4 linked regions of the Drosophila melanogaster genome follow. The protein of the gene in region 1 interacts with the protein of each later gene in a pairwise test. Each region holds a gene or a part of one and is shown in the gene's direction. Other genes may lie near its edges.

Region 1 (9,166 bases):
TAGGTTAACGAGCAGCAGCTACGGCCAAAGAGAGGCGTATCAGCCATACGGAAGCCAGTCAAAACTGGGAAAGAAGGAAGAGGAACTGCTTCGGGCCCTCAACATCATTTACAAGTCAATAAAATCAATTTGGGCACCCGAAGAACAAACGAATTGCCGACAGCGAACCACACAATACAGGATATTAGCATTAGGGACAACACATCCATATATCTTACATCTTTTATGGCACGGCCCCCGGCCCAGACCAATTATAATTCTAACGATAGCCCCAGACGGACACAAGGCTCCCTTGTTCCCTTCCATCCACAGGACCAGAAGCCGGCCTCTAATTAATCAATTATATAAAATACAACTAATGCGATGATCGTGGCCAGGGTGGGCAAACGGACGAAGAGGGATAAAAAAAAGGGATAGGCGAGGACTCTGGTCCCAGAGTGCTGCATATTCTATAGCCTATAGACAGACAGATGCCACTGTCCAGAACTAAAGCGAAACCCAAACTGAACGAATGGAGAGCTGAGTAATTTTTTTGCAGATAAGAAAGAAGACGATGACTGAAAAGCGATGACTTTATTTCGTTTGGGGTCACCTTTAATAAAATTATCGTTGGAGGTAACCTCCGAATTGGAATAGATAAATAAATAAACAGTTTATTGAACAACAAATTTAGCTTGATTTTAAGTCACAAAACGTAAGTGGACAATTTTCGATAAAAATTTAATTCAAATTTAAATAACTTGTTCCATTTGTTTTCGTTGTATCTTTTTTAACTTCACATTCTCGGAGTTAACGTTTTGGACAAATTAAGCGCCTTAATTATGTTTAATTAACCACGGATAAATAATTACGAGTTCTTACAAAATCGACATTTAGTTCCACATGAATTTCCCATTTTTCGACTCTGCACGGAACTTTATTTGGTATGGGAAAATATAATTATATTTAATTACTTGAAAACAATATAAAGATAAAATTTAATAATTTTAATCCATGCGCATTAAACTCTAATTATCTGAAATATGCAATTTCTGTTTGGCGAATTCCACAAAACTTTCAAAATGGAACGAAAACCAAGTGTAGAACTACGTTAGGAATCCATGGGAGGGGGTCAGGGGGCAATTAAGACCAGTACCCAGTACAGTCGGTACACGCACTAATTACCAGAGCATTTCACATTTTATTTCGCCAGGAAGGCATGGTGCATGGGGGAGGGGGGTGGTAAACCAGAGGCCATGAGAGAGTTTCCACAATTAGATTTACGAACAAATGAAATTACTTCGCTTTCGTTTTAATTGCCGCCCGCTTATTGGCCAGGAATGTGTACGTACATACACATAATCAGCCAAGCAGAAGGCCTTATCGCTGGCTGGAAATCTGGCGATTTTGGGTTGCATAAACCAGTTAATAACGCGCTTCCGCCCAAGTCAATTTCGGGACTACACGACAATTGAGTGAAAATGCAATGTCGTCGAATCCAACAAAGCCGAAAGCAACGAAAGCCAGGCAAATCGTCGTATCAAATTACCAAATAATGATCTGGGGGAGGGCCAAGGAAATGCCGGCCGAAACACCAGCTATAACCTGGTACTAGGCCATCAACCGGGGCGTTATGTACGTACATACATACATATGTACGAATATAGTTGCCATCATGCGACAGTTTTGTTGGGTGATTATGTCACACGCCCTGCTCGCCGGCCGAACGCAGCCATTTGTAATTGAATTAATGCCGGGGTCTGTGGTCTGGGATCTGGGATCTGGGATCTGTAATAGTTGGTGTACTATTTATGGGCCAGGTGACGGGCGGGGCCTTATCGCCAACATTTCATCGCGCGACTCCAGTAACCCTAACTAATCGCACGTAATTAAATATAATTTGGTATCGTTTACAGTTGCGTTTCGTTTGCTACACCATTTTCACCGACTTCGGGCTTTCGTGGGTGAGGGAAATCTATGCCGAAGTAATGGCTGTAATTGGGTAACTTTTTTGGGTAAATTCCATACATAATAACCGCACAAATTGCGTATAGTTAAAGGGAGGAGAAGGGAAAGCTTGTTAGTACAAAGGCAAAACACCTCGATTGTATAAGTATGAAATACCCATAACTTCTTGCTCCAACCCGTTGGTTAAAATCAAAATATATAATTTATCTGAATCATTTTCATCATCTCAAACAACACCATCTTAGCTTTGAAGTTGTCTTTGTAAGTTTTATAAGAATAATTAAGCAAACACCAAGCAGACACCGCTAGTTGATTAAAGGCTACCATCTTTGGAAGGTCTAACCAAATGGCAAGCCCCTCAAATCTATTTCATTCTCCCAGCTGGCAAATGGCAACTGGTAAATTCTTCTATCTAAGCCGCATAATGGTCATAATGAATAAGACACCTCGGACAGCAGATAGGGAACGGGCGAGCTGACTTGGCCACTTGGCTGCAATTTGTTTGCTATCAGCCAGGAGAAAAACGGCGAACGACTTATGGGGGAAAAGAAGAAAAAGGAAAACGCGCAGCAGAAATAAAATTATTTAATTGCGCAATTAAGTGCACATTTGTAGCGTTTTGCGCGACATCTGTCCCATGTGCAGGAGTGGATGCAGACCCACAGCCACAGCGCGGAGTCGAAGTCGGGACCGGAAATTCAATTGTTGAGATAATAATTACATTAGGACGTGCGCGCATGCGCGACTCTTTCACTTTAAGCCTCCGTCTCTTTCGCGCTGTGGAGCGATCTGAGCCTGCTTAGAGTGGACCCGAATTGAGTCCGAACGGGGAAGAATGTCCACACGGATGTATTGAGACAGAGGAATACCTAGTACTAGATCCATTTCACCGCTAAATTACGAAATTTCCCTATTCGAATAAACCATCAAATATCCTCTTATAAGCATATATGCTGCGGACTGAATCTGTACATATAAAGACCTGACAATTCTCTAATTTGGATTCCGATTAAAATAAATTAAATGAAGTTCAATTGTGAGGATACCATCTTATTCAAGGGTAAATACATCAAGCCCTTGCTCTTCCCGAACACTGGGTATAATAAGTGCACACCTTGCGCGACGGGCTGATTGACACGGCCACATGGGGACGAGAGATACCGTGCTCGGTACCAGATATTCCCGATCCCGGTCCGAGTTTGCTGTCCATTGAACTCGTCGGACAAATGGTCACTCCTCGTCCGTCGACGGTCGATGGTCGCTGGTCTTTTGTTTGCATTTCGCCCGTAAATGAAGCGTGAAATTGGCAGCAGTGCAGCGGACTCGATCCAACTCCGACTCCAATCCCTATTCCGATCTGCAATGGAACTCGGAGAGCGTCGCATTGTTTACTTCTTGTTAAGGCCCGACAATGGGATAATATGGCCATATAATGGCAACACCAAACTATTTGTATGCAATTGCCATTAACACTTTATTTATTGCCTTGCGATACAAGCAAATTGGGCAGCGAATGATGGTCGAAGGAGGGGGACGCTTCCAGTGCAAAATGCCGCTGGAATGGATCTGTGGATGTATAAGGCCCGCTTATATAAAGCCTAATGAAGTGGTTATCAAGGAATGGAATCTGTTAGGTCTGCTCGGAAATGGCAAGAGCTGGGCTGAGTTCAGTTTTTCATCATGGACGGAAAACATTTTTCCTTGGATTACATTAAATTACGAAGATGGATGTGATAAAAATGATGTGATGTACAAGCCTATGGCTTGTATTTCACGTTGTATCAATCTAAATCAATATTCACTTATTTAAAAACTATCAACGGCTTTTCCAAACATCCTTCATTCAAATTTAACTTGAGTCATCTACATAGCTGGCTCATTGACCTTTTTCTCAAGTTATTGCCCTTCCCCGCATGACACCCCCACTCCGATGGGTAAGCAAAACAGTCTACAGTCCGACAATCATCCAATAAAGCCAACAAAGTCATTAACGAGGCCCTTAACACTACCAAAACGGTCTATATGGCCGGTTCCAAGTCCCCACCCCAATACACGCAACTCTTTTTCCCATATGTCTTGGCTAAATTATTTAATTTATGAGCCGCAACAACTGGCAAATGCATCTATGGCAACCAGAGGAAAACGCGTTGAGCTGGGGGGCAAATAAATTTCCATTTTGCTAATCAAATTTATTGCACTTTGTGCGGGGCTTATTCAATTACGCCCAATCGAAGAGGCGCGAGAGAGAGGGCCATGCGGAGCGACAGAGAGCGGTAGAGAGCAGCTCCGCCATTATTTCGCTCCGTCGAATGCTGCTTTCCCATAGGCCGAACCGCCAGAAAGAGGCGGAGTCCGCCTCCCGGCCACCTGCCGCCTCACCTGCGACACCTGCGACGATCGATCGACATGCTCCGATCGCATCGCTCCCTCTCGCTCTGCGGCACTACGAAACACTAAAAACACTGGGAGGCCAGAAAACCACTCTCGCAACATTGGAAAACAACAACTCCAACCGGTTGTTGTTTCAGACCCACCAGAGTTTTCACCTGCGCGCCAACTGCTCACCGTGTAGTTTGCTGCCGGCTCTGGAACAGCCCGGTCATCTCGTCGCGTTCGGTTCCGATTCCGATTCGAATAGTCGAGCTGGGGATACATTGTTGTTTCCGGGTTAAAGTGCGTACGATTGCGGAAGTGTCGGTATCCTGCGCGTAGTACAAAGTTATACCCATCAAAGGTGTATCGCGATCAAAGTGAACGCTTGGTACTCGGTATCTGGTTGTTGGAAGAAGTGGACAAAAGACCGTCGGCAAAAGTTACTGTTGGTGAGAGCTACAGGGCTTATTAGCCCGGTTAAATAGGAAGAGAGAGATTCAGAAGGCCAAACATTATCAAGACCATCCGTACAATATCTGGCGATTAAGGAGGAGAAGGAAGGTTAGTCTCAGACATTTTATCAAAAATATATGAAACATTCTTTGGACAGAATAGGATTTGTTATATCGAGAGCGTGCATTAAACAGGGAATCCTAGTTACTGTAACTCATAATTTTTTATCACAACCGTAGTCATTGCCTTATATCATATCAAAGATAGGGATTTTCTTAATCAAGCAATTTATATAAATTTTGTTTTAGCCCTAAACTAATCTTGACCCTTTTCCGCCACTTCCGATCCCCAAATCACATAAACTTATTATCACACCTTGCGAATAACCTACTTCTCAGCATGATAGACAAATACTACAAGTATAAGCCATAAATGAATTTCATAATTCACCTGTCTAATCATCCCAATCAATGTGAAGAGGGAAAAATAAAACGTATGACGAGACATAAATATCATTAAATTTGATTAATTTCCCACCTGGACATATCAAATCAGACAAATATCAAGCCAAATCGTATCATCGCTGTAGAATAGAATTTTATTAACTCAATTTTGAGGGTCGAAAGATTTCGCCTTTGCCTTAGCTGATAGTTCGATAAGTTTATCGCTGATTGGTTTTAATTAAACACCATTAAAGAGTACAAATTGTCAGCAGTGCAGTCAGCGCCAATAAATCACGTTTTGTCTAGCTGATGTTTTTCCCTTCTAGAGGTGGTTTTGGTCGAAAGTTGGGGGCATAGTCTTATGCTTGTCCCGTGTACCTACAGAATAAATGAAATTAACCAGCCACACCTATCACCCGCCGATAATCTTGTCAAAAGCCACTGACCACTTAGCTTCGTGACGCGGACGAGGGCCCCGAATATATAGTGAAAATAACACAAATATAGACAGATATGTGGGTCCTGATAAGGCAAAGGAAAACCGGGACCCTCTTTCCTGGTGATAATCGGGCACTTGGCCAACTGATTTAATTAATACTTATAACTCATGTGACTTGTCAGCACAAGTTTAAACGAATTTGTGACGCAAGTTGGTCGCAGTGTATTTGTATCTATGAGGTAGCATCATTCCCAATAGATAATACCGAAAAGATTCGATAAGATTGTCCCGTACAGCGTAAAATTAAAATATGTTCTCCACCGAAATGTAGTTCAATTCAATTACGGCAACATACAATTAAAACTTGTTGCCAGATACCTTAGATACTGTATCTTGTAGATATACACCCGAATTTTTGGCAGCTATCTGAACACGAACTCTGATTTGATTTGATTCGCTGTTGTTCGATTGCTCGACAGCTCCCAATTTGGGGCGCTGTCTTTTGAAGGGATGTCGGTTGATTGTTGATCGTTGATGGCAACACACCCCCCGAGAGAAATCTTCTCCAGCGGGAAGATGGCGCCAGGGCCCTTTGAGATGTGCTTCATTAATTCTTGTCCCCTGCCCCTCGCTAAATGGAACATGCAAACATGAGAAATTAACGTCGTCGTCCACAAATTGCCCACCGTCTGCCTCGGATTCGCTTATCAAACCACACAAGACAATGACAAAGGGCAGGGCGGAACAGTCGAAGATGGAGATGGCGTCGGGCAACAGTTGTCCAATCCCCAGATCCCCGATCCCCGAACACCGATCACCGATCCCCGATCCCCTCCGGTCCCAATTTATAGCTCCTCACTGCGACTGCTGTTCTTAACATGCTTTTTATGAGTAATTGGCCCCGCATCAACATCACCAACACGGGCTAAGCTTGTAGCTACAGCATCGCCATTCACCATCAACAACTTCTTGGTCTTCTGTGTGGGTCTTGAGTTGCTGATCCTGGCTCTGAGTCACAATTTGAACTTGCGTCTACCTTTGGACTACCGTCCCGGCACTCTGATCCATTAGGGTGGACACGGGGTAATTTTTGCTACCTGGGAGCGAATCTCGAATGCCCTTGGAGAGCTCGAAATCCATGTGTCAATACATTTTTACCCAAAAGTTCAAGTACATACAATTTTTATTGTATTTAGCTAATAGATAGTCTCAAATGGGAACGTGTTCTGCCTGTAGACCTAAAACTTTAATGTATACCTTAAATTGTAGACATATTAGGGATTATATAGGATAAGTAGATCAACAACTTAGTTGACCAACTTCATTCACCAGGCGTAGGGGAAGGGTACTAGACCCTTCGTTGCAACTTCGTCTGATAGGCAGTAAATTGAATTAAGATTGTGGAAAAGAACAACAAATGAGGCAGCAACTTCGACACAGGATATGAATAAACTAATTATAATTGGGAGTGTGTGCATTAGAGGTCCATAACGTACACCCCAGAACAAGAGGTACAGAAACAGACGATGATGACGGCGCCTGGCCAACAACAAGAATGCTGCCTTATCGCACCTGGTCCAAAAGACGGCGCCAAGAAACAAACAACCCAACAACTGGAAGGTGAATGGAGGGCTCAGGTGCAGCTTAAATGAGATAAACACTACGGAATTGACTCGACTCGGCCCAGCTCAGCTGCTTGTGATATTAGTTAAAAACATTTCTGGGTGACTTACAAGAGCTGGTCGAAAATAATAATTGGTCTTATCGAACCAAAAGTAAACGACCAAGCTTGGAACGTCGCTGGCCAATCCGTCAACTTCTCCAGGGGACCACCAAGGGACTGGTATCGGGGGCGATCATTGAGCTTTCGCTCGGGGCCAAAAGTTAAGCCACCCAAAATGCTTGCCATTATCGAAGAACCGGAGGCGAAATTACAATGCCGATCATCAAAGTGTGACTAAAGTGGTTTAGCCTAATGTAAACCCATAAATAAGCAGCCCAGATACCGGCCAGACTGGGGACTGGCTGGAAACTGGAGTCTGATCAATAAAGTCTGGAGAGTGGAGGATCGAGACGGAGGCGCATTAACGAAATGCCAGAAAAGAGCTTCTGTTTGCTGTTCTACCTGATGCCGTCCCTCTGGCCCGGCTTTTAATGAAATATGCCAGCCCAACAGTCCCCAGACACCGAGAATCGAGGATCGAGGATTGCACCGGGAAGATCGGGAGCCGAAGGAGCTAAAACACAAAAGTGCAACCATAAAAACGACACCAAACATGAAGGAGCCAACTGAAGGCCCAGCCGAAGTCGCGTCTCTGCGGAGAGGAGCTGCGCAGCTTTGAGTTGTGGAAAGAGCAGCCAGGCAAGGCAGAAACATTGATGCTTATCGAGATGACAGAAGTGACGACAACGGACGCCGGACAGCGGACAGTGGGCAATGGAGTACATCGGATGGACGGTGGACAACCAAATAGATGTAGCTTCATACACTTGTCTCGCATTACGAATTAATTTCTTCATTTGCCATATGAATGTACTGAGAGAAAGTCGCTAAATGTAGGATAAGTTTATTAGCTACGAGTGAAATAGCTCCAATAGGGCGCAACTTTTTTTCCAGTGGCTTTATGACTGTGCTGGGCTAGGAAACCCACACAGCCTACAATGTTGCTCTTAAATATTTCCCCAGACACTAATGGAGCTTATCTCTAAACGGAACAAGCAACCGCAAACAAGTTGCCAGACTCGGACTCGGGCACAACTCAAAACCCCAGACTTTGACTGAGATTTGGAATGGGACTTGGTCTGCCTTTGACTTTGACTGGCGCTTGGCCTGATTAGCATGCAGGGCCTAAGAGGGCCAAGACGCCGAGTAGTTGTGTCAAAATGTTAGCCACGAAATCGCCCCCACCAGAAGTTCGCGTCCTCCTATACCATCACATTTCATCACATCCACATCCCAGGCTTCCTGGAGTGGTCGCCTATCTGGTTTTGGGCAGAGCAAGTGCAGCGTTAACTTGATTAGTTGCTGACCAGCCAGTGACTTAAACTAAATGAAGCCATGCGACCAACGCGACCAGCGCGACCAAGCCAAATCGGTAGGCAGACGTCAAAAACTTGACAGTTTCCAGCAAAGTCTCTGCCTTTTAATTACCCAGTGAACCGTCAATCAGCGGAGGATTCCTATTCCTGCTGCTCCGATTGCCTGGCCCATAATAAAGTCGTAACGCGGATACAATTATAAGGCGGCTCCACAACAAAGCTGAACGGCACACATTCCCCGCATAGCTCCAAAGTGCTCAACGGTTCCCATTCGCATTCACATTCACGTTCACATGCAATGAATTAATCAGTGCTGGTCTTGTAATGAAGTCGGTGGCAATCGCAACTAGTTACTAGTAGCATAATTGCAAATTCGTACAACTAATTTAATAATTTGCTGACCGCAAATTAAGTTTGTCAGCTGTCAATACGCGGAATTTGTTGACAACATTGAAAACTGACATGGCAACTC
Region 2 (7,869 bases), on another chromosome or scaffold:
CATTTATATAATACCCTTGAAGTTTTCGGCATTTGCCAAATTCCGCTTGAACGAGCCGCTGTCAAAATAGGAAAGCAAGGCGAAATGGCAAAGCATTTCTGCCATGGCAATACCAGCTCCTATGCCAGATTCGAGTGTCTTCGGAACGGCCATAATCATAATAATTAATACCCATTTACGTTCTTTTGCCGAGCTGAAAATCAAGCCATTATCGCCCATTCACTTGCCGGGGTGATAATTATAGACGCCCGTGCACAGATTGTCGGCTGTCCCGAAAATTATGCACTATTTACTAATGACAGTTCTCGGAGGTGCAATGTTTTGGCCAGTTGGGCGTATAATAAGTGCACATAAACTTTTATTGCTATTCCCGCGTGGAGTGCACAGCGTGTAAAACAGGTGAGCCTGTGCACCAGGTGCACCGTAAAAAAATAATGTGTATAACCACGTATACTTCGATTCGTATACCTCGTATTTCATACGAGCTCTTCATTTGAAATCATTAAAACGAGCTTAATGGCAAAATTCTTTTTAAACCTACTTGAGAATATTCATTTCATTTTTTGTCGTTGAATACCTTTAAAGGAATAAATTAAAAATGTTATGCCTTTATTTTGGATTTAAAAAAAAAACAAATAGATATTTTTTGAGATTTTTTTCTCAAGTACTTTTTCCCTAGATGGATATTAACGAAAATTGATACAATTTTTTTCGCAGTGCGAGTGCGTGCCAAGCAACAATGCCATTGACAGTGCAGGCCAGAAAGTGGCGGAAAAAATCGTAGAAAAGAGTAGAGCAGTTTCCCATCCAATGAAAAGCTCTATATATTTTTCAACGCTTTTAAATAAAATTCCCGAGGAAGTTGGTTGGAAAAAAATATCTGGCCAAATGACTGTAATTTGCATTGGCAACTCACACAAAGAGACGCCGCGCAGTTTAACACCTGCATGAGTGTTGGTCGGCCTGTGTTTGTGTTGGGCCTTTCAATTTAAATACAAACACCCACTCGCACACACACACACACACACACACTCGCATTAACAGTCGCCGAGTGTGTTTGCACGGACTGTTTGCGGCACGTCACAAAAGTTTCCTGTTGAATTTCCCTTCATTTCCTGGCCAAAGAGATTATTATTTTCATTTCATGCCATGGCCAGCGACAACGGCGCACAACACTATGTTTTAAGCAGAGACATAAGGGGGCGTGGCCGGGACTCATTTTCATATTTATGCTGTCGACCCAAAAACTGTTTACTTACTCGCCATCATTAACGCTTCATTCGCGGCGGACTTTTAATTTTCAGGGCGACCTGTTAAGGCCAGAGTTTTTCCTTTTCCTTTGGCCGGGGCATCGCCAAAAAGCCCTATAACCGTGAATCCGCACATGCCCGTATATACGGATATACGGATATACGTATATATCCGCACATTCAACGTCTTGGTCCTTCGAGTCGTATATTTGCATACTTCCGGTGCGCGCAAAATGATTATCATTATTATTTCTGTTGTTTGCTGTTGTCGTTACCGCGGCCATTACCGTTATTGCAACGCCACTGGCAGCGGCTCCTCGCTCCTGAAGTCCCATCGTCCTGTCGTCCTGTAACTCCGAAAATGGCCGCCAATCGGAGGGGAACGTGCGACGGTTATGGCTTATTTGTGCAAATGAGCTGACGTCCATTACATTGTCCGTGGGGAGGTGAAATGCAAATGATTGTTTTGGCGCTGGCTGGCTCAATGTCTGCCGCACAACAAGGTCACCGCAGGAGCCCCAAGGACACTCTTATTCACATGTGAGTGTGTGTGTGTGTGTGTGGGCTGTACACATATCGCATCACTTGCGGCTTAAGGACACGCGAGTGAAAGTAAGTGAAATGGCCTCGCCCAACTTAGCCCACCTGGCCTTGTTTAATAGCCAATAAGGTAAACTTTTCGTACAGATCCTTGATTGATTCTCCTCTATAAATTGGCACATTTACTTATCGAAATAAACTGAAGCTCCTTAACTGTAAACTTTCGACCACAAAATGCTTGCCAAGTTTGCACGTTGCGCAAACAAATTGCACCTGCTTCAGGTTGATTAGCCACCTGCAGCCCATCTCCTTTGCTACTTTGCTCCTTTGCTCCTTTGCATGGCCCTCGGTTTGCGCTGCAAGCCAGGTCGTAAAACACTTTTGCCTATTTCGCTGAGTTGGCTCGACTGCGATCTCCAGCTCCTCTTCCAGTTCATCTAGCTCCTCCAGCTCCCGCTGCTCTTGCTGTTGTTTTTAAGAGCCATTTGTCCGATGCCCGCGGCTATTTACAGCCATTGTACAGACTTGGCGAATTTATCAAGCATGGCGGAGTCGCTCAGTGGGTCACTGGATGGTGAATGTTGGTGAACTGGATTCGGGATGCCGGATACTAGATGCTGCAGCTGACGTTACCGCCATTTTTCCGCTTTTCCTTCACTTCGCTTTTGGCTTAATTTCAAAACAGTTGCGCTTATATTGGCAGTTATGCTGCAAATTTATTGGCATGCTTTGTAAACTGGGTTAGTTGCATATATCTCGCAGCCGCAAGCTGCGAGCCAAACGATTAACGTTGAGTAACCCAAATTGATGTCACCACCCATCGACCGCAGCTAACAGCCCGCACCACCCACCGCCACCAACATTTGCCCGCTGGAGCATCATTTTTTCCCACTCAGCAAAGTTTCCGTAGCGGCTGGTTATAGCCCATAAATTCTCATACATTGTCAAGTAATAGCTAAACCCTGTTTACCCCCTGACAGGCACAAGTTCATAGAGATAAAGAAAAAATGTGGCACAATTTGGTCACAACTTTTTTAGAAAAGAGATAACCAATTTCTTTTCATAGTGAGATTGCTTAGGTCTTTTAAGAAATTTCAACTATGGAAAAGATGATCGGCACTTGATCTTGAAAGTGTGGTTTTATGCCCCGTTTTCCTTCAGTGTTTTTTGAGCGTAAACCCAAAGCAGTTCCAAGTTTATAAACCGGCGACAAAGAACGAGAATCTCTCTGGCAGTGCAACGCCTGACACGGGTTAATCCGGTATGCGTGGTGCTTCTCATTTAACGGTCATTAACATAGCCAGCCGGAATGCTTGGATAGACTGTGCTTTCGAGCAGTTCCGTTCAGAAGACTGAAGACCCTCGTGTCTCGTGGACTGCAAATCGCTTTCCGGCAGTTCGGCAGGGAGTATTTTTGAATCGAGGATCCAGAATGCGGCACAACATGGTGGCCTACCTGTACTGCCTGGTCAGGGATCTGTACGCCGAGCACGGAGATCCCCGAGTGGCGCACTTGCCCCTGCTGGGCAATCTATGGATCGTGCTGGCCATTGTGGCGCTGTATGTGGCCTTTGTGCTCCACTACGGACCACGTTGGATGGCGAACCGTGCTCCCTTTGAGCTGAAACGTGTGATGCAGGTGTACAATGTGGTGCAGGTGCTGGCCAATGCCACGATATTCGTCATTGGCCTGAGCAACACCTACCTCCAGCCGGGATACAGTTGGACCTGCCAGCCAGTGGATCACACGGACAGATCACCGGCCATGATGAAGACATTGTACGCCTCGTATGCGTACTACATGCTCAAGTATCTGGATCTGCTCGACACGGTTAGTTGGGGGCTATATACCGTCTATATACCTTCTATACCCATATACAAATGCATTCCCAGGTATTCATAGTGCTGCGCAAGAAGAACTCGCAGGTGAGCTTCCTGCACGTGTATCACCATGGCGGCATGGTCTTCGGCGTGTCCATCTTCATGACCTTCCTGGGTGGATCACACTGCAGCATGCTGGGTATAATCAATCTCCTGGTGCACACGGTGATGTATGCCTACTACTATGCCGCCTCATTAGGCGCGGTGAAGAATCTTTTGTGGTGGAAGCAGCGGATTACACAGCTGCAGCTGATGCAGTTTGGCTACCTCACCTTTCATTTCCTGCTCGTTATTGTCCGGAATCCGTGTCAGTTTCCCGTGTTCATCGCCTTCATCGGCTTCATTCAGAACATCTTCATGTTCTCCATGTTCTTCGACTTCTACTGCAAGACCTACATACGCAAACAGCGCAAATCGGCGGAGCACAAGCTGAAAGCCAGCTGAGCTGTACTGCCGTTGAAAATGAGGTTCAAGTTCGCGCCGCGTCATTTCCATATTAAATTGTGTAATAAGCTGGTCGGTCGCTTATGCAAATGGGCACCGATCGAACCCAAAATGCCTGGTATAAATAAACATTTCGGATTGTTTCCCAACCCCTCCGTTTCATCGCCACAAAATACATATCGCTCAATTGTTTTGCTTTTGTAATCAATTTCAATTTGCCAGCGGCTAGATTCGGAGGCTCCTTAAACTTTTCTCGAAAACTTCTTAACCGCCTGGGAAAATCGAAATGGAGCACGGAGAGCGAAGGCGGCGACAAGTTATGAAGTAAGTTAGCCGGGCATATCTTTTATTAAAGGGTTAAATGAAATATCGATGAAGTCGGCACCAGTTATGGCCGCCACGTGTTCCCGACCCACATTTCTCTATATGCTTCGGCCATGTGTCGCATGGGCCCCTGGGCCACCTTTTAACTTTCTGGCCAGCGTTGTTTTTTTCTGGCCCCCTTTTCAAAGCCAAAGAGTGGAAAAACCAGCTAGCACACCCACAGTGTTACCCCATGTTGAACACATTTGCCTAGAAGGCTGCCTCATTCATATTTTTTCCCCCTCTTTTTTTTTGTTTTTGCCATGGCATTTTTTCTTTGCCAGAAGTTTTACATCTGCTTTCGCTCCCAAAAAAAAAAAAAAAATGGAAAACCAAGGGGCGAAATGAGGGAAACCGCTTTAAAAATGCTTGTAAGCAGGCAGCAAGTGGAAAGCCGCAGGGCAGCGTTTGTGCCTCGTTTAGGACCGCCCGCACAATATTTTTTCAGTTATGTAAATTTTTGGCCCAGTCCGGCGAATACTTCTCTTAGGCGACGGCGGCGGCATCATCAAACTTTGCTGCTCACTCGGCCGAGAGCCTTCGATGGCAAATTAAAAGCCAACAGTCCGAAGGTCGCCTTATATTTGCGGCTGGCGCAAATGGAGCTTATTAAGTGGCAACAGCAGATCATTGCCAGTCGTTTGTCAGGCTCATATTTGTGGCTGGCCAGGGGAATCTCTGAATAGCCCCAACTCCGGATCACATAATGCCAAAAGTCCCTGCATGGATGCACTCAAAAAAATTAGGATTACAACAAAACCATTACTTTAACAAAGAAAGCTACTTAGACCATAATAGATGGTTTAGATAGATAGATATTTCTTGTAATCTTACAAAGCTTAAAAACCTCTCCTAGAAATCTATTACATATAGCATTAAAACATCCAAGACTCCGCAGTCCCAGATACTTTTCCCCAAACCAAATTGGACTGCCTTCTTTTTCCGAGTGTGTCTGTTGTTGTTGTGCGTTTGGGAGCCACATTAAAACTTTTCTAATAACGAACTTCTGCGACTGAAGCCGAGCGTAAACATTCGAGACGGAAGCTGGTCGGCGGATGTTGTGTATGTTCTGCTTGGAACTTATGTCCGGGTTCGAAGTCATGTATGCATGGCATACAATGTAGCATCCCGAATCGTCATCATTAACATCAGTACGACGTACGGCAGCATCAGCGATCATTGCCAAAAAAGGGTTCAATGAACGCGGCGCACTTCCTGCAAGGATATCAATTGGGCCAAAAAGATTGCTGGCCGAGGATGGCGTACATGGCATACATGGCGTATGCTCGATATCTGCCCGCCATTTATGACTCGCATGGCATTTAAGTGCTGGCCGTAAAACCGTTATGTAAACTACGAGTGCGAGTGCGATTGCGAATGCGATTCTTTACGGCCACTCGCAGCAATGCTTCTGCAGTGGCCATGGCCATTACTCAGCATAAAACTTGGCCAGGACCAAAAGGACGAAACTCCTTGATTGTGGTGTGCCCATGTGTGTGCACTGCACAGAATATCGACTGGGCTGTGACCCACACGCGCCACTCGAGTCCTGCGACAATGTTGTAGCCGAGTGTAAATAATAATAAGCATCGGCACATACGTTACCATAGTTATTCATGCTGTACAGTGAGCACCCGCTTTTGCGACACGTGTTCCAATCGATTCCCCTTGGCTTAAACAACTTCCTATGTGCGTTCTTACACTCAAGAGCGAAGGAGCTAGTAACTCGGCCCCCTGGCAATTATCCACAAATGTGTAGGCTAATCCTGTTTACCTTTTTCGAATTATCAAGCGCAAATCAATTTTCTATTGATGTCGGGCCTCGAACATTTAGCCCCGGGACTAAAAGCTCTTTATAATCCAATGAAAATGAACCCGAATATTAAGCGACCCAAATCTGGAATCTCTTTCATGTGTGCAGGTAATCAAGCCGGTATAAAAGGCCACATTTTGATGCTCCTTTCACCTGTTGCCGTAATGAAGAAATCTAAATTCCATTAAGTTTATGTCCGCATTTTCGTTCGCAGTTCACTGCTCAATGAAAAGCACTTACATTGACCTTTTCCACCCGCCCAAAATCCCACGTACTTTCCACGCTCCACGCCCCCAGATAAGAGGAGCAACAACAATAACACCGTGTCCTGAAATGGATCACAACATTTTCGGTGAGCTCAACGTATTTGCCTAATGGAGATTAGCCGGCATTTGGCTTTATTTGAATTCTGGTTGGCAATTTATTGCCAATGCTTATCGATCCTTATCGATGTCCCATGTCTATGCTCTTCGGGCATTTACTTCTTCCTTGGCAAATTTCGTCGCACTTAAGCACTTTGTAGCACTTTTTATCGCTGTAATTTTTGGTCTAACAAAACAATAAATTCAGAGCTTTGGTCTCGAGTGGCAGGTGAATTGCTCGCGCTGGCAGCCAAGTTGAAATTTGTAATAAATTTTAGGCCGAGTGGGTGGACCTACTTATCTGGGCGCTGGGCAATTTTGTTAATTTGTAAGTACACGGTGCCGTAATTAAGCGCGATTTGAAATATGTGACAAGCGGACCACGCGTGTACATATATACATACATAGTGTGACTCTCGAATAAATCAAAGTAATTAACTGCACGAGCGTACATGCAACAGGTCACGGGGTCACGCGGCACTCTCATAGCTAATGTGAAAAGTTATCAATATCTAGGTTAACAGCGGTGTGGGCCAGCTCCCTTCCAGCACTTGAGAAAACAAATATACTTTTGGGGTGAAATCACAGTGGTATCAAAGTTCTTAAGCCTTTAAAGAGGGTAAAATACTAAGGGTTTTCTATTTCTCAAAGCTTAGCAAGTGGCAATTGTTTTTTTTTGGCATAAAAACTTATTGACATTTCTCTGAGTGCAAGTGCCATTCGATTCCGGACCGGAAAGCCTTTTCGTGTTCATCCGTTCAATCAACTCAATTAATATTGATGGAGCGGTAAGCGAAAAACAAAAGAGGTGGAAAATGTGTGGCTGTCAGAGGAGCAAGTGTAAAAATCAATGCCCAGCTGGTCATTAATAATGCAATGGCCACTAATGCACTGCTAATATCTGAGCCATTGGCATTTTCCCCGGCCAGCGGGAAACTTTGTGTGTTTGACTTTGACAAACTTTGTGACGCAACTTGGGCGCACTTGTGTGGCGGCGAGCAACTTATGACTTATCAATGACCGAACTCCAGCCACAGCCAACACAGTTCACTTGATTGAACTTCTCGAGCTGGCCACAGTACTCACTCAGTCCTATACTCAGTCGCAGGATTCAGGACCAACTTTCCGAAGGCAGGAACGGTGGAGGAGTACCTCCACCTTGGGCTGTCCTTTCCATCGCTCAGTTGCAGCCATAAATCAATACATTTCAATTCCT
Region 3 (7,772 bases), 4.6 Mb from region 1:
GGCAGCGGCCACTTCCGCCAGCACTCGGACTACAACACCAACAACCTGAACAACGACATCTCGCTGATCAACACCCCGCACGTGGACTTCTGGCACCTGATCAACAAGGTGGAGCTGCCCGATGGCAACGAGCGCCACGACAGCTTTGCCGGCTGGTGGGCTCTAGCCTCCGGATGGGGCAGGCCTTGCGATAGCTGTGGCGTCTCCGACTACCTGAACTGCGTGGACTCCCAGATCATCACCCGCGACGAGTGCTCCAGCGTCTATGGAACCGATGTGATCACCGACAACGTCATCTGCACCTCCACCCCCGGCGGCAAGTCCACCTGCGCCGGCGACTCTGGCGGCCCACTGGTCCTCCACGACCGCTCCAAGCTGGTCGGTGTCACCTCCTTTGTGGCCGCCAGCGGCTGCACCTCGGGCCTGCCCGATGGCTTCACCCGCGTCACCAGCTACCTGGACTGGATCCGCGACCACACTGGCATCTCCTACTAATTTCGTTCTCGAAATAAACCCTTCTGCATTTAATAGATAATTGTTTTTTAATTCGATAGTTTAAATTTAAGGAATGGGGAAACTAAAATGGATTATCTTAAGGATCAAGATACTTGATTTTGTATGGTTTAGATTGATTTTCGATATCTTCATAGAATGTTTTCATAGAATACGAATGATATGGTTTCCAATTTATTATTATTTATGATTAAATGTTAAGCCTCATATTTAAATTAAATCAGAAAGATAAGTAGTGTTATAAGTTATAAAGAATTGCGTATTTCATTTGTTGTTAGTGCCAGTCTAGTTTATTTCTCTTACTATCTCAGTTTTCTATCAATTGATTTGGAGGGATTTGTTTATTTTTCAGACCTACCTTCGATAAGATTAAAGGGTTTACGCATGTGGCTAAAATCTCCATTTTGTTTAACTTGTTTATAATAAATAAAATTTTCCTTCATTTAAATAATGATAATTTATATTTCAGTTTTTCTTAGAATATTAAATACAGATGTATATTTTGTTTCTGTTTTATTTTGGATATATTTTTGTAAGTATTAAAACGATTGGATAGTTTAGAAACTTTAAGCAAAAGCTATATATAATAGCAAGCAAATAATAATTTACAGATTTGTACTAGATTTAATCTTATCTTCAATGACAGCTAACTTTTTTAGTAATTTTGACAATTTTGCTGTAAAGAAGTTCAATCAGCATTTTTATGAAAATAACACACAAGTTTTTAACATTTTTCCAACACCTATTTTATTATCACTTTCAAACATTTGTTTACACTTGAACAATAATTGTAAACTATTTTATTTTTAAGCACTTGTAATTCTTGTTATCAAAAACCTGTGAGTATATAGGGTTATCATACACTTGTGCATCAAGTTTTGGTTTGTTGTTGTTCTTATTAATTGTCTATTAAATTAATAATAGTCGAGAATCCTTCAGCCTAACTTGGCAACAGTTAGTAATAGATTTGAAAACAAGCGGAAAACCTCCAGCCATTATTACAGATTATCCTTATCAGGACAAAAAGCAGACATACATTTTATGTAAAAGTTAACAAACAACTTTATTGAAAATCATTCCTGTCCAAAGATCATTGTAAATTTTAAGTTCTGAAAAATGATGATAAGATAGAATGGTCTGCGCAAAGGTTGACAAATATATATTTTATAATTATGAATAAAACTACAAACATATTTGATTAGCCACAAAATATTATTCCATTTAGATAGATAATAATTTGGCTGTTTATTGCTGCATACTTAATATATGGTAAATAATAAAATAATATAATATATATAAATATATATAGTCTAGTGGGGGGGGTCTAGTCCCCCCTAGAGTTTCTTTGATTTCTACTACTGGCTTGGTAGAGTGGTTCCTCCATTCTTATCGATGACATCGTTTATGGGAGTCTTGAGGATTATTTACGAGCCCTTTTCGAGTTGCAGATATGGTTTTAGCTGAAAATGTGTATAAAAGGCTGCCATCCGAGAGTAGAATCCAGTATAAACATCAGCATGAAGGTGTTCCTAGCTATCCTGGCTCTGGCCGTGGCTTCGGCCTCCGCCTTCGACGAGAAGGTCTTCGTAAAGGACCTGCCCAAGGCCACCAAGATTGAGGGTCGTATCACCAACGGATACGCCGCCCCCGAGGGTAAGGCTCCCTACACTGTGGGTCTTGGCTTCAGCGGAGGCTGGTGGTGCGGTGGCTCCATCATCGCCCACGACTGGGTCCTGACTGCCGAGCACTGCATCGGAGATGCCGCTTCCGTGATCGTTTACTTCGGTGCCACCTGGCGCACCAACGCCCAGTTCACCCACACCGTTGGCAACGGCAACTTCATCAAGCATTCCAACGCTGATATCGCCCTGATCCGCATCCCCCACGTCGACTTCTGGCACATGGTGAACAAGGTGGAGCTCCCCAGCTACAACGACCGTTACAACAACTACAACGAATGGTGGGCCGTCGCTTGCGGATGGGGTGGCACCTACGACGGCAGCCCACTGCCCGACTGGCTGCAGTGCGTCGATCTCCAGATCGTCCACAACGAAGAGTGCGGCTGGACCTACGGCAGCGTTGGCGACAACGTCATCTGCACCCGCACCGTCGACGGCAAGTCCATTTGCGGAGGTGACTCTGGCGGTCCCCTTGTCACACACGACGGCTCCAAGCTGGTGGGAGTTAGCAACTTCGTCTCCTCCAACGGCTGCCAGTCGGGTGCTCCTGCTGGATTCCAGCGCGTCACCTACCACTTGGACTGGATCCGTGACCACACTGGCATCTCTTACTAATTTTTCTAAATAAATCGATCATTTTAAAAGCAATACGTTTCGAGAGTATATAAATCGGGGTCACCAACAAAATGTATGTGTTCTACACTTGTTTTACGCAGTGTAAAACAAATTTTACTCGTGTGTAGAAACCACGGCGTAAGATTACACAAATAATTTTTGTAGCAGTTTTGTGTGAATGCCAAAGCAACAGCTGATTGCTATCAAGTAAACAATTAATTACGTTTTTGCCGTGCACCAAAGGATTGAGTTGGGAGTGCTTTGTTGGTGCGTAGATCACGTAACCGGAGGCGGCAGCATGTGCACTCTGCACCCCGAGGAGGAAGCTCACCTGATGGCCATGGCCAGCGGAGGACAACCAACGCGTACGGCCAGTCCAAGGCCATTGGTCACCGCCTCCATTGCAGCACCACGATCGCTGTTTGATGTCTGCTGGGACGATGTGCTCATCCCGCAGGTTGCCGTCTACCTGTCGCTCAAGGATCTCTTCAACCTGCGCTGCTGCTCCCGTACCGCACAACGCTTTGTGGAGGCTGCGCTGGAAAAAAGGCAGGAACTTCATCTCTCTGGGAACAACACAAAGAATATCGACGTGGCCTTTCGAGTGCTGGCCCGATGTTGCCAACGATTGGAGGTGCTTCATCTGGCCTGCTGCCGATGGCTAACAGATGAGCTGCTGCTGCCACTGCTGGCCAACAACAAGAAACGCCTGTGGGCCGTCAACCTGAACGAATGCGTCAACATCACGGCCCTTTCGCTGCAGCCGATCATAGTGGAGTGCAAGGAGCTGCGCGTACTCAAGCTGTCCAAGTGCCAGTGGCTGACCACGGGAGCAGTGGACGCTTTGACGCTGCACCAAAGCAAGCTGGTGGAGTTCGACATCTCCTATTGCGGCGCAATTGGAGAGCGCTGCTTGATTATCTTCTTCAGGAAACTTAACAAGCTCACCGTCCTGTCGCTGGCAAATACGCCCAGTGTCACCGATCAGGTGCTCATCCAAATCGGGAACTATTGCCGCGAACTGGAGCACATCAACGTGATCGGGTGTGCGGCTATCTCCGACTATGGCGTGCAGTAAGTAATACTCGTAGTTATCCCTAAAAGCTGTTGTCATATTGTCAGTAAACCTGTGCGTGCCTTGTGTCTGTGTGTTTCTGGGGAAACCAATCTCCATCTGCATCCGCATCTGCGTATTTTCAGCGCTTTGACAGTGCACTGTTTGCGGCTACGGACCTTGCTCATTCGACGTTGTCCGCGGGTCACAGAACTCTCCCTGGCGCCGCTCCGCCAGCGGCGTCTTTACATCGATAGGCCACAGCCGGATGTGGGGCTCAACGCTTACAACTTGAACGACTTCTATCCCAGCGATTTCCTTGTTTACTAGCCCACACTTCGTTCTCCCTCTTCCGCAGTGCCCTCACCTCCAGTTGCCCGCTGCTGCAGTCACTGATGGTGCAGCGCTGCCCATTGGTCACCGAGCGTGTGCTCGCCCCACTTCGTGGACGGGTCCACATCGATCGGCCCGGCATGGGCTACATGCCAACTGTGCAACATCACCGCCTGTTCCTGCAGGTTTGAGATTAATTCTGATTCCGGGCCAATATTACCAATGTACCAAGGAGGCTTTCGAGGCTATCCAATACTTTTGCTGTAAATACATGCCTCAGCATGGGACGCTTTAATTTACTTTTAAGCTTAATCTTACACATTGTTAACATTAATTTAGGCTGTACAATAAACATACTAACTTATTCATCTCTCTCTCCAAAAGCTCGAGCTTTTTGCATTAAAATACATGTAAACCAGAAAGTAAGCTAGAATCGGCAAGCCGAAACTTATATACCCTTGCAGTAATTATAACATTTATACCGATTAAAAACAACGACCCGTTCATGCAGATTGCTAAACTAAGAGACTATTTGGCATAGAAACTGACAGACGGACATGGCCGTATCGACTCCGCTGGTGATACTGATATATAGTTTATATGGTCGCAAATGCCTCATCCACTGCGCTACAAACTTTTCGATAAAATAAATATACTAACTGCAAGGGCATAAAAAGCGTGGCTAAAATGTGGCCAATATAAATACAATAGTGTGCTTTAACTTTCCCCTCGTGCTTTGTGCGGCTTCCCATCATTGTGCTGAAATTAATGGCGAGTTAGAGGTAGTTGTTGTGGATGTCGCCTCGACCCCCTTTGACAGGTGGAGTTGTTGCTTGAATGCAGAGCTTACACTAATATCCTCGTCGCCTCGGCCATCTGCGGACCGCCACTGCTCATGCAGATGCTGCAGGTGAGCGTAGGCGGCCATGGACATGTTCAGACTGGGATTCACGGGGCTTAGCCCAGGTTCACCCGTGAAAGCTAGTCCGCAGAGACCGAGGTATGTGTGAAACGGATCAGGCGTGGCTTGCGGCCACTTGGCAAAGCCCCCAATGAGCTTATCCTGTGTGCTCAGAATGAATTCTCGGTTCCGGGCATAATCGGTTAGTTCGAAGCCGTCCAGAATACATAGCGATGCACCAATCCAGAAGGAATAACAAGTATCCACTGGCTTATTGGGGCGTCCTTGGAATCCATCCATCTGGCGGAAAATGAGCCAACGCTTCATTCGCTCCACCGTCGTGGCATCCAGGCGATGCAGTTGTCCACTAAGATGCAACGCCGCCAAGGCACAGAATGTGGTGCCGCCATGGGCCTCCCCCTCCAGCTCTTGGCTGAAACCGTAATCGTATCGCAGGCTCCGAGTGATGAACTGAAACATGGTCTCCTTGTTGACATCGCCCCAGTAGTCCAGCATGTAGCATATGGTGGCGGCACAATAAACAAATCGCATATCATCCTCGCTGCCATCGATGCAGGCGCTAAAACTGCCCTCAGGCTTCTGAACAGCAGCCACTCCGTCCACAATGCTTTTCCGATCCAGTCGGGACAAATCATCGCCCAGGGTGACCAGCACTGCGAGACTGGTGTACGTCATGGCCAAGTGGCCCCACTGGTAATTCCGCATGCACTCCAAGATCTCGGCGTCCTCGGTTTTGGGCACCATGGCGCGGCAGCCCTGCAAAGATACCAATTAATTAATCAATCTATTTTAAAGTGGTTTTGCATGTTGCTGGCGTCGCTGATAAAGCGTGGCGCGATAAATTCAAGGTGTCGGTGGGTGGGGTGTGGTGGGTAATGGTAAATCGAGCTGCTGCGCAAATGGAGAACTCCTCTACAATTATGCATATTTAAACAGTATAGATCGTAACAGAAGTAATGCCGTTTTGCTTTTTATGTAAAGCAGATGCGTTGACCTTGGAATTAACAATTTAATGGGTTTTCATTAGAATCCAATTATTTAAAAACAAAATTTAGATTTGTAATTTAAACTAAAGGGTCTGGAATCATGAAATATGTGATGCATGATGGGGAAACAAGACGTGGCTTCTTAGATATTTTTAACAAAAACAAACTTCATAAATGCTAATAAAGAATTGCATACTTTTTTTGTTGGAAATGAATCTTTCAAAATATTTACTTCGTGGATGCTTCTCAATGAAGGAAATGCGAATGCTCGTATATCAACTGACTGAATAAACACCAATATGTAAGGGATGCGACAACGTCTGCCGCAGTGTCTGCTACCTGGCCACGTATGGAGATAAGGAACTTGATTGGGAGTGGATGTGGGAGCGGAAGATGGTTCTGTTTGGCTTGTCAACGACTGTTTGTACACCTGACAGACGCGAATTTATGCTCACCATGAAACCGCCGCAGTTTTTCTCGTTGTCGCGTGGCACTACCAATCCTCCGTAGATCCAGTCAATGATGTCCTGCCTCAGTTGTGGCGGCACCAGATGCAATGAGTTTAGCACATCCAGGCCGCAGACGGCGAAGAACACAATGGTGCTCCTGATGGACAAGGAAATGGTTAACCAAAAGTTAAATACGAGGCCAGGATGCACTTACCTGGTGTTATCGTGCGAGGCCATGCGAGCTGGCAGGAGATTAAGGAATCGGAGCAGATTCTTGGCGTGCTTGGAGAGCAGCACGGGCTCCGTATCAGTGCGGTCTTCCATATCTATGTGGTGGGACATATTGCTTGTTAAATGAGGAACTTATGGGTGGGTAGGAACTGGATTGTCTCGGTGTGCGCTGAGATATGGATATGACTAAGCGTTGAAAGGCCCTTCCCAAACGGTTGGACTGAGCTGGCCGGAATAGACGCTCTCCGGTTGCGATTCCGTCTTCCAATGATGTTGCGCCCGCACGTGCCCACATTTATATGGTCTAGCACTTACCTTTTGTTTATATAAAGCCGGTTTGCATTGCAATTTAGGGCTACGGCGAACGATATAAAACACCAAGAGTAGTCCACAAATAGCAGCTGCTTCTTCTTACCTCTTCTTGCCAGTCACAGCGAACCACGTTTACACGGGGAAATAATTGCTAGTTCTTAAATTTCTATATCATAATGTTTAACAATATATAAGCTAAGATATTTTCTTAAACCTCGAAAATAATTAATTTAAATATTTTACAAGCCTACATCAAGTGTTCATAATCTTTAGAGTCGCATAAACATTAAATATAAATAAAATTGTTGGGCCTTCCTGTGAATGGCTATTCTTCAGTTCTCAACAGCTGATTGCAAGCCGCATTTAATTTACTAGTTCTTATTATTAATAATTGAATTAACCTTTCAAAATGCGTTTAACGCAATATTTGGCCAGCAAGTTGAAGAACTTTTCCAATCTGCCCAAGGAATACATCGAGCGCAGCAAAAAACAGGTAACAGGAAGAGTCTTTTTCATTGAACAACTTGTGAACAGCGGCTCACGTAACACATCGCATGGAAAATGTTTCACATTTATTAAAATATTTTTTTTCATCTCAACACAGGTGTACTGGCAAACTCCGAAGGAGATTAATTACCTACCGCGTACCGTGGAGCGAAAGAGATTCCGCTACACCAC
Region 4 (7,724 bases), on another chromosome or scaffold:
CGAATGTGGTACTTGCGCTCGGCCACAAAATTACCGAGCAAGTATCCTGCGAAACCACGACACACAAGAGTGACTCATTAGGCGCTGTCCTGTGAATGCACTCACCTGTTATCAGCATGAAGAAGCCAATCGTTAGCACCAGGGAGGCACAGGTGCGCTTGGAAACGTACTCGCGGAACTCCCGAGAGCTGTTGGCCCGCACCGCCGTCTCGTAGCTGAGTACCTGGTGCATCCTGATGACCTGGTCCCCTTGGGGATTATAATCTGTGGGGCCTGCTTGGCCTAGTCACGTCGAGACACTCGGATGTGTCCTTCAGAACTGGGTGGGAACATGGTGCTATCGGTGGTATCTAGTGCCTAAAGCATGGAATTTGTAATTAAACATTAGAAACTGTATCTGTGAGTTACAGCTGTAAGTTTCTTAATTACTTCGATATGTTCAAGGATTTAAGAGCGCGGAACTTGGAATGATATAACACCTCTTGGTATGTCATGTCAGGATTTAATGTTCTCCTTTCACATTTTTAGTTTGAGCACTAAAACCGCAGTGTCAATGCCCCGAGTTCCTGTTCTGGCGATGCCGCTGATACGGAGGAGCGTGACTTAATCGCCCCACCTTAAAAGGCAATCGCGAAGCCCGTTGTTATGGGCATCGCACACGGCAAACAGCGCGGTCCTTTAAACGCTTCGTCGAACACTTTTCACTCACTCGCTTTATAGGATATCGTCGGCTTGGCTCGACTCTTGTGCTGCCAGGATGGGGTACATATGCATTAAATTAATTAATGACTGCACTTTTGTGTTGCACTGCCCGAAGGAAGTGGGCTACAAGTGTGGGAATGTCCTTTGCGAAGGGAGCGCGCTCAACTTTTAATTGTATTATTTATGCTTTATTTACTCGTCGCGTTCGCTCGGATCCTTGCGCGTTATCCTTGCGAGCGGTCTGAATGCCCGGACGCCCAGTCGGGAACTGACTCACGCTTCGTTGGGGGTCGGCTTTAATAGCTCTCCGTTCTCCGTTTTCCGTTCCGTGTGGTGAGTTTCCTGCCCCGATATGTTGCACATTTCAGCGTGGCACTACGTCGGCGGAAGGACGGTCAAGGGGAAGCTCGGAGAATGCAAACAAAGGCATTCCCAGTAGCTTCCTAATGAGGAATGGGTCCGCCATTTCGCCCACTCCGCCCGAGGCGTTCCTCAGAAACTATATCGGATTTCAAGCCATCGCCTCACTTTGAGTGATACTGCTGCTCCGTAGTTCCGAAAGTGGACCTCCCTTTTGATTGCCATAATCGTATTTTCTTTTCTGCTTCACTATTCCCTGCAATACTTCAAGGATATCACATGACCCTCGATTGCCATTTCTGTTCCTTGGGGTTCTTTGAAGTCCCCCCCATGACACCTTGCTTGCACATTTTCACTTGTTGTGCTGTGACATATATTACTGGGAATTTATGCATAAACTCAACCATTGCATACAATTTGAATATATATTTTGAGGTACGATTATAAACTTTTGCTTTTCTGAACTTGAAGTACATAATCCCATAACGCACTCTATTACTAAGTTAATCCATTGGGTGGCATAAATTAAAATAATTTATTGCACGATAAGCTTGTACACTTCTATATGTGCATCGATAGTGACTTCATTGGTCTATATAAAAGTGTGAGACCAACAGGAGATTTTAGTATACAAAATGAAGGCTTGCGTACCCATATTGGCAGCCCTTTTTGGATCAGGGAGCAGACTGGCATTTACTATTAACCATGGTTAATAATTCTTTATGATTTAATAAAATTAAATGAATTAAATTGCTTGAACTTGTATCCACTCAGAATTGATTGAAGCACTCAAAACACTCTTATTCCCTTTGCTAACACTTCATTCATACTGCCAAACACTCGTCTTGAGTATCTGCTAGTATAAATCAAACTTTTTCGTTGATAAAAGTGCTGCGAGATAAGATTTCGCACTTTGAATTAGCATCGATAGTGATTATGGCTAAGCTATATAGTATTGGGACCACCATGGGAGCCTTTTAGTCTTTCAATATGAGGGGTCTTACACTCTTGTCGCTCGCCTTCCTTGGGGTCTGTAGTGCCCTAACTGTGCCCCATTCGCTGGTCCATCCACGCGATCTGGAGATTCGTCATGGAGGGATTGAGGGTCGTATTACCAACGGAAACCTGGCGTCCGAGGGTCAGGTTCCCTACATCGTGGGTGTGAGCTTGAACAGCAACGGAAACTGGTGGTGGTGCGGCGGATCCATAATCGGACACACTTGGGTGCTCACTGCTGCCCACTGTACCGCTGGGTGAGTTATTTGATTTCACAAATAATTAACGCTCTTTGATAAATCATCGTATTGCAGTGCTGATGAGGCTTCACTGTACTATGGTGCCGTCAACTACAACGAACCTGCCTTCCGCCACACAGTGAGCAGCGAGAACTTCATCAGATATCCCCACTACGTTGGACTCGATCATGATTTGGCCCTGATCAAGACTCCCCATGTGGACTTCTACAGCCTGGTCAACAAAATAGAGCTTCCCAGCCTGGATGACCGATACAACTCTTACGAAAACAATTGGGTTCAGGCCGCCGGATGGGGTGCCATTTACGATGGCAGCAATGTGGTGGAGGATCTGCGAGTGGTGGATCTGAAAGTGATCTCCGTGGCGGAGTGCCAGGCTTACTACGGAACTGATACCGCCTCCGAGAACACCATCTGTGTGGAAACTCCGGACGGAAAGGCCACCTGCCAGGGTGATTCTGGTGGTCCTCTGGTCACAAAGGAGGGTGATAAGCTTATCGGAATCACTTCCTTCGTCTCCGCTTACGGATGCCAGGTTGGAGGACCGGCTGGCTTCACTAGGGTCACCAAGTACCTGGAATGGATAAAGGAGGAGACTGGAATCTATTATTAAAAAAAAACTTTACTAATTTCAAAGCAAAAAGGTGCTTAAACAAGTTTTAAATAAATGAAGAACATATGCTGTTATATTTTGTGTATTATTAATTTCTTGGAAGATAGTGGCATATTCATGTTTAGAGATAAAATTACCAATAATACATAATCAATACATTACATATTACATAATACATACCATTTAATACATTACCTATGTAATATTAACCTATTAGTGTTTTATTTTTTGATAATCTAAAAATCAACTTGTTGAGAACAAAAACTGTACAATGTGCCGTATGAGTAATATTTTATCACACTTTTTTTTGAAATTGGTAGTAAATACTTTCAATAAACATTATTCAGAATTTAAATTTCTTAAAGATCATAAAATACTTTACTCCTCATTTGGGTAATCTGAGTATATAATATATTTTAGGTGAAGTGAATGTCCTTACATGATACTATCATACTGAAGAGTAAGTTGCAAATAAGGCACATGTCATTCCACTTCAAATTTAGGCCATAATTTACAAAAAAAAAAAATCACCTGTAGTGGACTTATCAGTCGACGATGGCTCGCGATGATAACTTGATTAAAATTTACTGCCCTCCCATTTTACATACGTGTGGAAGGAAGGGCTCTTGGTCGAGATAAGACTACGGACCACTTCTGTATATAAAGGCGCTTCGACATCGGAACACCATTGAGTTGCAAGACTTGACCAAGATGAAACTGTTCGTATTCCTGGCCTTGGCCGTGGCCGCAGCTACTGCTGTGCCCGCTCCCGCCCAGAAGCTGACCCCGACGCCCATCAAGGACATTCAGGGTCGCATCACCAACGGCTACCCAGCCTACGAGGGCAAGGTGCCCTACATCGTGGGTCTGCTCTTCAGCGGCAACGGAAACTGGTGGTGCGGTGGCTCGATCATCGGCAACACCTGGGTCCTGACCGCCGCCCACTGCACCAACGGAGCCAGTGGAGTGACCATCAACTACGGAGCCAGCATCCGCACCCAGCCCCAGTACACCCACTGGGTGGGCAGTGGCGACATCATCCAGCACCACCACTACAACAGCGGCAACCTGCACAACGACATCTCCCTGATCCGTACCCCGCACGTCGACTTCTGGAGCCTGGTCAACAAGGTTGAGCTGCCCAGCTACAACGACCGCTACCAGGACTACGCCGGATGGTGGGCCGTGGCCTCCGGATGGGGCGGCACCTACGATGGCAGCCCACTGCCCGACTGGCTCCAGTCCGTCGATGTCCAGATCATTTCCCAAAGTGATTGCAGCCGCACCTGGTCTCTCCACGACAACATGATCTGCATCAACACTGACGGAGGCAAGTCCACCTGCGGAGGCGACTCTGGTGGCCCCCTGGTTACACACGACGGCAACCGCCTGGTCGGAGTGACCTCCTTCGGATCCGCCGCTGGCTGCCAGTCTGGTGCTCCCGCCGTCTTCAGCCGCGTCACCGGATACCTGGACTGGATCCGCGACAACACCGGCATCTCCTACTAAGCAGTTGATGTTCAATAAACGATTATAGCAAAAATGAAAAATTCGACCAAACTATTTATTCAGTTGTAGATTGAGGGGCACATTATTGAGAGCTAAATATTTATATATTCTATTATGTACATTAAATGTACATATATTATAAAACTAAAAGTAATCTCATATTTTCCTTAAATGTTTTTAAAACGAGATTGTTTAACTTATTTTTATATCCTATTTTTATATTCTATCCATATGATAGCTGTTGAACGCTAGTAGCGACTATAGGGTATTCCTATATTTAAAACTGTTTAAGCTAGGAAAGTCCACTTGCAGCTATTTATAATAACATAAATTTATATTATGTTTATGCACTTTAATTATGTTGCAAATATAACAAGTCCAATATTCTACATACACCATTTTCAATCCAGTTTGCTTTTTATATACATAATATACATAATAATTATAAACAATACATAATAATAATACATAATAATAAGACGTATGATCCATATATATATATTTGCATATAGTCCGATGGTTCGTCATTATGTGTTCCTAAAGCTTGATTTTTTCCGATACATAAATCGGAAATCGGAATAAGTTTATTTCCGTTTGCAGTTTAATATATTTCCCTTCACTTGGAAATATTTTATTGATTTCATTACTTAAGCAAGAAGACATCTGAATCCCATCCCAAAAACAGAACTTGAGTTGCTTGCTATAATCGTTTATTGAAGAAACCCCTCAGAATTAAGGAACATCAACTGCTTAGTAGGAGATGCCGGTGTTGTCGCGGATCCAGTCCAGGTATCCGGTGACGCGGCTGAAGACGGCGGGAGCACCAGACTGGCAGCCAGCGGCGGATCCGAAGGAAGTCACTCCGACCAGGCGGTTGCCGTCGTGTGTAACCAGGGGGCCACCAGAGTCGCCTCCGCAGGTGGACTTGCCTCCGTCAGTGTTGATGCAGATCATGTTGTCGTGGAGAGACCAGGTGCGGCTGCAATCACTTTGGGAAATGATCTGGACATCGACGGACTGGAGCCAGTCGGGCAGTGGGCTGCCATCGTAGGTGCCGCCCCATCCGGAGGCCACGGCCCACCATCCGGCGTAGTCCTGGTAGCGGTCGTTGTAGCTGGGCAGCTCAACCTTGTTGACCAGGCTCCAGAAGTCGACGTGCGGGGTACGGATCAGGGAGATGTCGTTGTGCAGGTTGCCGCTGTTGTAGTGGTGGTGCTGGATGATGTCGCCACTGCCCACCCAGTGGGTGTACTGGGGCTGGGTGCGGATGCTGGCTCCGTAGTTGATGGTCACTCCACTGGCTCCGTTGGTGCAGTGAGCGGCGGTCAGGACCCAGGTGTTGCCGATGATCGAGCCACCGCACCACCAGTTTCCGTTGCCGCTGAAGAGCAGACCCACGATGTAAGGCACCTTGCCCTCGTAGGCTGGGTAGCCGTTGGTGATGCGACCCTGAATGTCCTTGATGGGCGTCGGGGTCAGCTTCTGGGCGGGAGCGGGCACAGCAGTAGCTGCGGCCACGGCCAAGGCCAGGAATACGAACAGTTTCATCTTGGTCAAGTCTTGCAACTCAATGGTGTTCCGATGTCGAAGCGCCTTTATATACAGAAGAAGTCCCTTGTCTTATCTTGACCAAGTGTCAAACTACCCATATGTTGAGCTGGAGGGCAGTAAATTAATGTCATCCAGATTACATAGGAGCAAAAAGACAAAAAATAAACAACGCAGAGGCTTGTACAGCAATATAAAAAACGTAAACTTATCAGTGTTCAATGATTTGCGAATCAGTTAAAAATACAATAAATTTAATGTTAAATACTACTCATCGGATGCAATTCATAAAATCATTTTCTACGTGGGTACATTCAATTTGTTTAAACACATAAGTATCTTATCGGTGCCATAAAGCAAATCAGCATTGATACTATAGATTTTTACGATCATGTTGAGGGCTTAGAGATATAATTTTAATACAGATGGCCATAAAATGAATTTTATCCCGCAATCTTGACGGTTTCCGGTGGGGAGACAGTGAAAGTGCAACCTGCTACGCAAACCCAGGGAAAATGAGCTCTTTCGCTTTTCTCGTGGAGAACTGAGCACATAACTCACAAGGGTCCTTAAAAGCTAAATAAGGCAGGAGTTTTGTTGGAGGCCAATGAATCATTGAGTGCAACCCAGTTGTACACTGCAGAAAATCATGTATAAACCCAACATAGCATTTAGTTAATGGGAACTTATAAGAAGAATGTGCATTTAGCCACATTTGTGTAATGAGGAGTACCTTTATATAATTACGAGAATGCCATCCAGGTATTTTCAGCTATGGCCTCTAATTAATTCGCACTTAATGAGTTCCCCTCGACAGCTGTGACTTTAATTTTGAAATTCCTTGGGCCACCATCACTTCCTTCCTCTTCTCTTGGAAGCCATGCGAGTGGAGTGTGGAGTGCATTGGCCCCGCTAAAAACCCCGTACGACTTGAACACGTACGATGCCATTCCGCCCGGAGCTCCATTGAACCCCACCTTTCGAACACACACATTCATCTCAAAGGGCTGCTCCGTGAAAGTGGGCTTGTTCCTTTTCCTTTTCTCCGCCTTTAGCCAGGAGCTGGCATTTAGTTCCAAGTGCATTGACACACAAAAGCCCTGCGAGCGCCCTGAAGTAAGCAACATTCAACATTCAAGGCTCAAGACGCTCGGCTGCCAAGGACGAGTTGGGTCTTAGATGTACACCACCCCACCTCCCCCTCCCACTTCCCATGCAGATTAATCAATATTCATCAATCACAAAGTCAGAATCACTGACCCAGTGCCCAAAAGGCATTCGAAATCATTTCAATTCGGTAGATACTCGACTGTAAACTGCAGGTGTGGTGTGTTTTCCGGCTCTGTTGGTTAGCCAAAAGCTTAAAAGCTTGCATTTTCTCCTATTTTTAAGGGCTTTTCTCGGTGAATAGTTCTAGGATATGAACCCAAGTCCATGAATCCCTATTTACTCGCAAATTAACACCCTCATGCTACTTTTTGAATATTAAGTAGCTTTGAATTTCGGCTTGAATAGGTGTCAAAAAGTATGCAAAGTGCGTATTTTTTTTTTGGGCATTGATCTATATTGCTGGGTACAAAATATTAGACACCTATTTAATTTCATATCTCAACTGTATGCATCATTTCATCGAAATATAAGCAGATAATATTGTTCCATTTAGCACGTTTTGTTTTTCACTTACATATAAACCCACTGGGCAGTATTGATTTGGATTTTCAGGCATAAAAGTGGTGCGA

Evidence for each region.
Region 2: the proteins of al (region 1) and CG6660 interact in a two-hybrid assay, tested with the Drosophila melanogaster proteins (one large-scale study listed by BioGRID).
Region 3: the proteins of al (region 1) and Jon25Biii interact in a two-hybrid assay, tested with the Drosophila melanogaster proteins (one large-scale study listed by BioGRID).
Region 4: the proteins of al (region 1) and Jon99Cii interact in a two-hybrid assay, tested with the Drosophila melanogaster proteins (one large-scale study listed by BioGRID).

Annotation. Positions count from the first base shown.
Region 1 is NT_033779.5:373,601-382,766, forward strand, and holds the start of al (aristaless), read left to right. Parts: upstream 1-4,511; 5' UTR 4,512-4,881; intron 4,882-9,166. UniProt on the Drosophila melanogaster protein: Involved in the morphogenesis of proximal and distal pattern elements in a subset of appendages. Also has a role in early imaginal disk development.
Region 2 is NT_033777.3:22,920,237-22,928,105, forward strand, and holds CG6660 (uncharacterized protein), read left to right. Parts: upstream 1-3,115; 5' UTR 3,116-3,234; coding exon 3,235-3,621; intron 3,622-3,683; coding exon 3,684-4,115; 3' UTR 4,116-4,289; downstream 4,290-7,869.
Region 3 is NT_033779.5:4,945,007-4,952,778, reverse strand, and holds Jon25Biii (jonah 25Biii), read left to right. Parts: upstream 1-2,011; 5' UTR 2,012-2,030; coding exon 2,031-2,807; 3' UTR 2,808-2,838; downstream 2,839-7,772. Other genes in the region: Jon25Bii (jonah 25Bii), read left to right, coding at 1-495; jet (jetlag), read left to right, coding at 3,106-3,881, 4,008-4,191; betaggt-I (beta subunit of type I geranylgeranyl transferase), read right to left, coding at 4,946-5,872, 6,558-6,708, 6,766-6,875; mRpL24 (mitochondrial ribosomal protein L24), read left to right, coding at 7,504-7,587, 7,699-7,772.
Region 4 is NT_033777.3:29,920,503-29,928,226, reverse strand, and holds Jon99Cii (jonah 99Cii), read left to right. Parts: upstream 1-3,611; 5' UTR 3,612-3,639; coding exon 3,640-4,437; 3' UTR 4,438-4,473; downstream 4,474-7,724. Other genes in the region: CG15522 (uncharacterized protein), read right to left, coding at 1-46, 106-232; Jon99Ci (jonah 99Ci), read left to right, coding at 2,053-2,315, 2,373-2,928; Jon99Ciii (jonah 99Ciii), read right to left, coding at 5,188-5,985. UniProt on the Drosophila melanogaster protein: Major function may be to aid in digestion.